Canis lupus familiaris: one gene and its partner. The protein of the gene in region 1 purifies or fractionates together with the protein of each later gene. This does not show direct contact. Links are inferred from orthologs where the notes say so. Each region holds a gene or a part of one and is shown in the gene's direction. Other genes may lie near its edges. The genes, in order: HAUS5 and HAUS2.

The links.
Region 2: the proteins of HAUS5 (region 1) and HAUS2 purify together in Homo sapiens (affinity purification with mass spectrometry; 5 studies listed by BioGRID and IntAct, with this or other methods). This does not show direct contact. The link is inferred for Canis lupus familiaris from reciprocal best matches to the Homo sapiens genes HAUS5 and HAUS2.

Annotation. Positions count from the first base shown.
Region 1 is NC_049222.1:117,844,393-117,848,844, reverse strand, and holds the start of HAUS5 (HAUS augmin-like complex subunit 5), read left to right. Parts: upstream 1-1,494; 5' UTR 1,495-1,552; coding exon 1,553-1,650; intron 1,651-2,334; coding exon of another isoform or gene 2,335-2,355; coding exon 2,356-2,418; exon of another isoform or gene 2,419-2,502; intron 2,503-2,508; coding exon 2,509-2,541; intron 2,542-2,678; coding exon 2,679-2,703; intron 2,704-3,223; exon of another isoform or gene 3,224-3,325; coding exon 3,326-3,431; intron 3,432-3,508; coding exon 3,509-3,668; intron 3,669-4,452. Other genes in the region: uncharacterized protein LOC111090112, read right to left, coding at 980-1,116, 2,335-2,382.
Region 2 is NC_049251.1:9,798,452-9,802,265, forward strand, and holds part of HAUS2 (HAUS augmin-like complex subunit 2), read left to right. Parts: intron 1-2,271; coding exon 2,272-2,364; intron 2,365-2,691; coding exon 2,692-2,761; intron 2,762-3,814.

The DNA of each region.
Region 1 (4,452 bases):
TGCCTGCATGGAGCCTGCTTCTCCCTCTACCTGTGTCTCTGCCTCTTTCTCTCTCTCTCTCTCTCTCTCTCTGTGTCTCTCATGAATAAAAAAAAAGAATCTTTAAGAAAAATAAATAAAAATAAAACCCCTTGAAAGGCTCACAGACCAATGACAGACATGCTATCTAATCAACTTGTTTTTTAATAGCAAAACACCCCAGAAAAAGCAGAAGATTGACAATGTTTGAGCAAAATGGTACCTTTTGAGCATTAGGTATTGTGGAGTAGCAGCTGCCAATCTTTCTTCCAGGAAACCCACCTGGATTACATCAGTCCCTGGCACCCTCTTCTGCTTCTCAGCCCTTATGAAATATTTGAAGCTTGACAGCGTCTCCCCCAGATTTGCTATCCTAATGGTGACCCGATGGTCCCTTTGCCCTGGGCCAGCCACCTCTTGGATGTCCCTTAACTCCTCACACCCACAGGGTCCCACATTGTTATCAGCATCTCCCCCAAAGCTGTCCCTTCTCTCACATGCGCATTTCAAGGTCTGCTTCACCTAATCCCAGAGCCCTGGACCTCGCCCTGGACCTCTACTGCCAATCAATCTCCTGACCCACTCACTCAGTCCTCACCTCTCTGCTCCACAGCCCTACATGGTCCACCACTGCCCTCGGCGACCCTCCCTCATCCTGCTCCACCCTCCTCCTCAGACCCGTTTATTTTTACCCCAGCACCTCTCCCCTCATTTGTTTATTGAATGACTTCTTAGAGAGTCAGGCTTTGAACTGGACACAGGACAGAGCGATGACCTCGGCAAGCATGTTCAGTGATAGGTCACTGAATGTTGCCACTTCTCGGGGCCCTTGTCCGAGGCGGAGTGGGCTCTCTGGATCTCTAGCCCCAGGACCCAGGGCTTTCTGGGGCAGCTCACGGACCTCGCACATTCCCTGTCCCAAACCGACCCGCTCCTGCTGTCTACTTTCTACCGCCCCTACCTGGTGATGGTGAAGCGTCTACGTCCCCCAGGGGACCCGAGCTCCGCAGCAGGGACGCTGGGGCTGTCATCCACCGCGGTGTCCGCGGGGCAGGGTCGGCTCACGAATGTCATGGAATGGGAAAGACGAAGGAACACCTAGAAGAACGCATGGCGGGGCGCTATTAGGCTCATGCTGTCGGCCCCAACCCTCACTCAGACCTGAACCACCCTGTTGCTGACATCAAAGGGCAGTAAGTTTGGCATCTCCGTACCCGGCCTCGCAGGATGAAAGCCCCATTTTGTCACGCACATCATGGGAGGCATCTGGGAGCTTCTGCCTCTTAGGGGCCACTTGGTGGTGAGCGGGAGGACGAGGAAAGAGAACGGGCCTTGCCGCTTCTCCACACCCGCTTCATCTTCACTCAAAGCGACCCAAACGGGACGAGCGAGGGACAGGCAACCGCTCCGCGCCGCGGAGGAGCCGGGAGACCCCCGCCCGGCCGGCGGCAGCGTCACTTCCGGCGCGCTCGTGACGTCAGAGGCGGGCGCCGCACTTGAAGCGGGCGCGGGAGGCCGCCGCTGCGGCGCTGGCATGGAGTTGATGCGGGAAGCGCGGGAGCTGGGCTGCTGGGCGACGGAGGAGATGGGGGCGCCCGTCGCAGCCCGCGCCCCGGAGTCGACGCTGCGCAGGTGAGGGACGCCCCGAGTGAGGAGGACTCCCCGCCCCGGAGATGGTCTCCGGCCGTGGGAACCCCGCCCCTCCCTTCCTCTGCCCGGGTGAGGATGGCCCTTAAGGGCGCCCCTCACACACACACACACACACACACACACACACACCCAGTAGTATATCCAGGAAGGGGAGCCTGGATTGAGGGACGACCCCCTGACGGGGACCCCCACACTCCCACCCGGAGTGAGGGCCGAGGCGCCAGTGAGGATCCTCCAGAGTTCCTGAAGCCCCCTTCTTGTGTGGAAGTAAGATCTTTGGAGTAAGACTGTCCCTGCAACCTCCTACCACCCCCCACCCACCCCAACCGGTAGGGGGGCTCGAGTCAACAAGGACCACCCCATTGGAGACTGAATCTATAGGAGTGATGCCCCACATCGGGTAATGAGAGCACCTCCTGGCAGTACCCCCCAACCCCCTCCTCTGGAAGTGGCTAGAGATGGGCCTTCTCCCAGGAGAAAGGAATCACCCCACCCAGTGAAAGGCCCACAACTCAGCGACAGAGAACTCCCCAGGAGGGAATGTCTCACTCCAAAAAGTATGGGCCCTCTCTCCCTGCAGAAGGGAGAATTCCCTAGTACAGACTTTCCCCACCACCACCACCCTAGGATAAGGATGATGTACCCTGTGTGATGCCCGAGGCATACCTTTACACACTGTCCCCACAGACTGTGTCTGGGCCAGGGGGCCGACATCTGGGCCTACGTCTTACGGCATGTGCACAGCCAGAGGTGAGCCGGCAGCATGAGGGAGGCTTTGACAGGGGAGGGGACACAGGCAAGCCCCACAGTAACACCTCTTCTTCCGCCTCTCTGCTGTAGGAGTGTCAAGAAGATCCGGGGAAACCTACTGTGGTAACTGGTTCTAAAAGCTATTCCTTCCTCTTTTCCCTAGTCCCATCCAACTGTGTTTTCACCCATAGCCTCATACCTCCTGTGTCTCCCCCGCCCCAAAGTCTCTGTCATCCCCTAACTCTGGTCTCATTTCCTAGGTATGGCCACCAGGACAGTCCAGAGGTGAGAAGCATGCATGTGTTATAAGATTTTCTTTCATCCAAAAAGAGGACTTGTAGATTTCTGCTCTAGGCCCAGCCTTGTGCTATGTGATGCTGGGAATACTGGGTCACAAGACAGCCCTAATCCCCACACTCAGAGGGCTTATAGTCTGGGGGAGACAGGCATGAGCTGGGCGTTGAAGGGATATGAATATGAAGCATCAAAGCTGATGAGGTGAGCTGGGAGAAGGGACTGGTTTGGGAGATATACTGAGGCCAGTGTAGGACCTATTGTGTGCAAGGGGCCCCAGTAACATCTAGGGGAAGGCTTCCAGAAGACCTTGGGACCCCCTAGATGTGGGGCTCAGTGGGGAGGTAAGAACTGGGGCAGAGATGTACTGTCATCAGCGCAGAGACAGGAAACAGGAGGATAGGTGAGGCAAGCCCAGGAGGAAGGAGGCGGCCAGATGGTACCCTAGTGTTTCTCTAGGCCTAGAGAATCAGGCATAGAAATTACTTGTGATAAACCCTCTGCCACCTACCTGTGCAGGCAAGGAGACCGGTCCTCCACAGAGAGCAGTCAGGCTGGGTCAAGCCCCAACCAGCCCTATGCATCTAACTACCTCTGTACTTGTTCCCGCCAGGCCCGTCGGAAGCTGGAGCTGGAAGCCACTGTTGCTCGCCTGCGGGCAGAGATCCAGGAGTTAGACCAGAGCCTGGAGCTAGTGGAGCAAGAGACCGAGGCTCAGGGTGACCTATGGGGCTGGGAAGATGAGCAATGGAGTGGGTGTAGGGGAACTGCTGATGGCCACGTGTTTCTCCTATAGACATGGCCATGGAGCAGACCCTGCAGAGCATTCAAGACACCCAGCGTCGTGCTCTCCTCCTCCGGGCCCAAGCTGGGGCCATGCGAAGACAGCAGCAGGGGCTCCAAGATCCCATGCAGCGGCTACAGAATCAGCTGAGGCGTCTGCAGGACATAGAGAGGTGGGCCTCAGGTGCCCAGGGACCAGCCTTCACCAGGCAGGCAGACAGACATTTTCCTTAGAGATCCAGTGCTCTACCCTGACCCCTTCTTGGGTTCTAGAATTCTGAGCTCTACTCCGTAGGATTTGAAGTCTGTGAGGTCAGGAAGTTTTCTTATCTCAGCCACTTATTTTTCCAGGGCCTAGAATGGTGCCAACTGTATATCTAGGGAATGTTCTGGGGAAAGAACATTAAATAAGGGACAAGTCCCCACCCTTATGGAGCTTACACTATAATGCAGAGGAACCAGATGGTAAACTAGGGAGCAGGTGCTATAATTGCAGGGAAAGATAAATTCTATGATTAAAAAAAAAAAGGTGATATGATAATAAGGGAGAAGGAGATGCTACTCTGGGGAGGATGGTCAGAGAAGGCCTCTCTGAGGAGGTAACATTTGAATTGGGGGAGGAATCTCAAGGAGAAGGACAGCAAGAAGAAAGGTGCTGAGCTTAGCATCTGGGAAGAACAGCCCAGAGGCCAGTTCAGCTTCAGTTACACAGGCAAAAGGGAGAGCATTGGGGGGATGGGGGGTGGAAGAGGTGGACAGAGTGCCATATAGGCATTGGGATTTTACTCTGAGGCTGGGTTCATGTCTTAGCTTGGCCACTTACACCTCCATGACCTGGGGCAGACTACTTAACTTCTCTGTTCTTCAGTTTGTAAGTTCTATGGAATGGGGATAATATTAAATCTATTTTATAGGGTACGTGTGGGAATTAGGTGAGTTAAGTCATACAGAGCACTT
Region 2 (3,814 bases), on another chromosome or scaffold:
GCTACTGACCTAGTCCACGTTCTCATCTTCTCACCTGGAATGCTATAGTAACTGCTTGTCTAAATATTCAACCTTCAGTCCCATCTCTCACCTAGCTTTTTTGGTTTTTAGTGGTAGGTCTTTTTGTGGTAAAATACTCCTAATATAAAATTTACCATTTTAACATCAGTGTATAATTCAGTGGCATGAAGTATAGTCACAATGTTGTGAATCTATTTTCAAAACTTTTTTTTATCAACCTGATGGAAACCCCATACCCATTAAGTAGTCACTCTATTCCTTACTGCCCCCCCAGCCTCATAAGTTCTATTTTCCATATTATCCTTTTTAAATTTCTAAAATATGTATTATATATGAACATGTTACCTCGTCACCAGAAAACTTTGAATTACTCTCATTTTCTGCATTATAATTGTTTGTCATAGTTATCAAGATCTTTCATGATTAAGTAGGAAACTACATTCTCAGATTCATCTTCCCTTTCTTTTCACATATATATCAATACTAGAATATCTTTTCCTTCCCATCCATCCTGAATCTTCAATTGCCTAACTTAATAAATGCTAATAAAATGTGTTATCATTGGTCAGCAAATTTTTACTATTAAGGGCCAGAGAATAAGTATCTGAGGCTTTTAGGTCCATATAATTGCATCTGGTGTATAGTGTGAAAGAAGCCAGAGATAATAAGTAAATAAATGGGTGCAGTTGAGTTTATTCTGAATCCTGAAATTTGAATTTCATATAATTTTCATGTGTCACAAAATACTATTTTTCTTTTAATTTTTTTCTTCCCAGCATTTAAAAAATATAAAAACCATTCTTAGCTTATGGCCTATACAAAAACAGGCAGTGAGTGGGGTGCATTTAGTTCCTGGACTATCATTTTCTAACCCTTTTCCTATAAGATATGTAAAGATCTAAATATGCTAATATTCTTGAAAAGAACAAAAGAGCGACGCCTGGGTGGCTCAGCGGTTGGGCGGCTGCCTTCGGCTCAAGTCATGATCCCGGGGATTCGGGATGGAGTCCCCGCATCAGGCTCCTGTGAAGAGCCTGCTTCTCCCGCTGCCTGTGTCTGTGCCTCTCTCTCTCTGTGTCTCTCATGAATAAATAAATCTTAAAAAAAAAAAAAAAAAGAAGAAGAAGAAAAGAATACAGAGAAAATTACGGATGGACTCGGGATGAACAATATTCTTATTCTGAAGCAACCTGCAATTTAAGGAGGCAATATATGCAAGCAATATTTTGCATGAAATGAAAGGATAAAAAGGAGGATATAAGCTTTTTAGAAGAAGAATTCCACCTGGACAGAAGATTCCTTTAAGAGAGTGAGAATGTGGGGCACCTGTGTGGCTCAGTGGTTGAGTGTCTGCCTTTGGCTCCGATCGTGATCCCAGGGGTCCTGGGATCAAGTCCCACATCAGGCTCCCTGCATGGAGCCTGCTTCTCCCTCTGCCTGTGTCTCTGCCTCTTTCTCTCTGTCTCTAATGAATAAATAAAATCTTTTTTTAAAAAAAAGTGAGAATGTGAAAAGAGGCAGCCAATAAAGATCATTTAATGAATCAGATAAATGATTCCATGGTGGGAAACTATTTGATTTTAGCCCTCAGAAAGTCAGAGACTAGGTCTTGGTGATTTGTATAGAGGTGATTCTCCACCAATCTAAGCCTCAGCCTTCTTAACCTTACCAGCCTTCTCTGGTAAGCTGTCACTAATGTAAATATATTGTGCATAGTGCTTTAGGAAATAGAACACAGTGATTAAGTGTTTTTTGTTTTTCTTATTTTTTAAATATTTGGCCAAAGGACTTGTGATAGTGAATATTTAGTTTTTTGTTTGTTTTTTGTTTTGTTTTTTGTTTTGTTTTTTTTAAGATTTATTTATTTGAGAGGGAGGGAAAAAGAGAGAGTATCTATGGGTGCACAGAGGGGATGGGCGGAGGGGAGTAAAAGGAAGAGGGTAAGCATACCAGGCCAACTCCTCACTGAGCATGGAGCCCAAAGTGGTGCTCAGTCTCATGACCCCAAGATCATGACCTGAGCTGAAACGGAGAATCAGATGCTTAACCCACTGAGCTACTCAGGCGCCCAGATGGTATTTTGCAAACAGGAAATATACATTGCTACTGTTACACTCTGTACTTCTTTTTCCCCGGGGGCAGTGTTGGACATAATAAATCCTCATGTTTTAAGTCTGTGGGTTTGCTATTCCAGTGCACATAGAAACTTTTTGTGACTTACGACTGCTTTCTCTGTTCACTTACCAATAGGAGATGTTAAATATATCTAAGAAATCAGCACCTTACTTTGTGAACTTCTCCAGACTACAGCAGATCTCAAATATTCAAGCTGAAATCTACCAGGTAAATTATGTTGGACTTTTTACTTTCTAGTACAGGGAAAAAAAATCTTGATTCCAATAGCAGTTCTTTTGCACTTAGAACATTGTCTAGCACATAGCCAGATAAGTGTTTACTTATAAGTGATAGTAGGAGTTAGTAGTAGCAGTAGCAGCAATAGGGCTTGAACACCAAAATGAAAATCTTCAGTAAATCCCCTGGGCTATCATAACAAATCTTTCTCCCTCCCCACAAATATTCCTGGGTTAAAGACTATGCCTTTTTTACTAAAGTATAAGCCTTCAGGCACCATTCTACATGAGCTAAATGTTATTTTTCTTATTAATGTAGAAAAACTTGGAAATTGAACTTTTAAAACTAGAAAAAGATACAGCAGATGTTGTTCATCCTTTCTTTTTGGGTAAGTAGTTTGATGAAATAGTAATCATTGGAATTTCAACTTTTTCTTGAATAACCTTATATAAGCACCAGGCAATAAAATTATGATATACCGTAATTTTTCCAGGTATTTCCCCAAAGCTAATGAAGTCTTCTATTCCGTGCTCAAATAGAAGTCTTATTCATTTGACTAGTACAAATAGCATAAAATGTAACCAAGGTAGGAGCTCCTCAAATTCAGGAAAGCTTGAAAGACCAAGAAGGGCTGAGAAACTTTCCAGATTAAAGGAGACTAAAGGGACTCAATAGCCAAAGCATAGTATGGTCATGGACTGAATACTTGATTAGAAATTTCTTTTGCTATAAGGTACATTATTGAATTAATTGGTGATGTGTCTATATGGACTGTATTAAATATTGGTAGTATTGTACCAATTTTAAATTTTATGAATTTGATACTTGTAATATAGTTACATAAGAGAATTTTCCCATTTATGGAAATACATGCTCAGGTTTTAGGGGTAAGAATTTCATGTTATGTACAACTTAAGTGGATCAGCAAAAATACATGTACTGAGTATGTGGAGAAAGAAGAAATAAAAATGTAGCTAAATGTTAATAGTTGGTGAGTTTAGGTGAAATGTATATGGGAATATAATGAAACTTTTCTGTAAGTTTGACATTTTTTTCAAAATAAAATTTAAAAGTGGCAATTGGCAGCCAGTAACTGAATTCTGGGCAAAATATTAAAATGATCAGAAATAGTTTGTAAGACAAATGCTTATTTTTTTTTTTTTAATTTATTTATGATAGGCACACAGAGAGAGAGAGAGAGAGGCAGAGACATAGGCAGAGGGAGAAGCAGGCTCCATGCACCAGGAGCCCGACGTGGAACTCGATCCTGGGTCTCCAGGATTACACCCTGGGCCAAAGGCAGGGGCTAAACCGCTGCACCACCCAGCGTTCCCCAAATGCTTATTTTTTAATGTCCATGTAGAATGTTAGAGGCAGATAGATTTTATGTGAAGAATATGGCTCTGGCTTATAAAAACTGAACTAGGAGTAGAGTTGAATA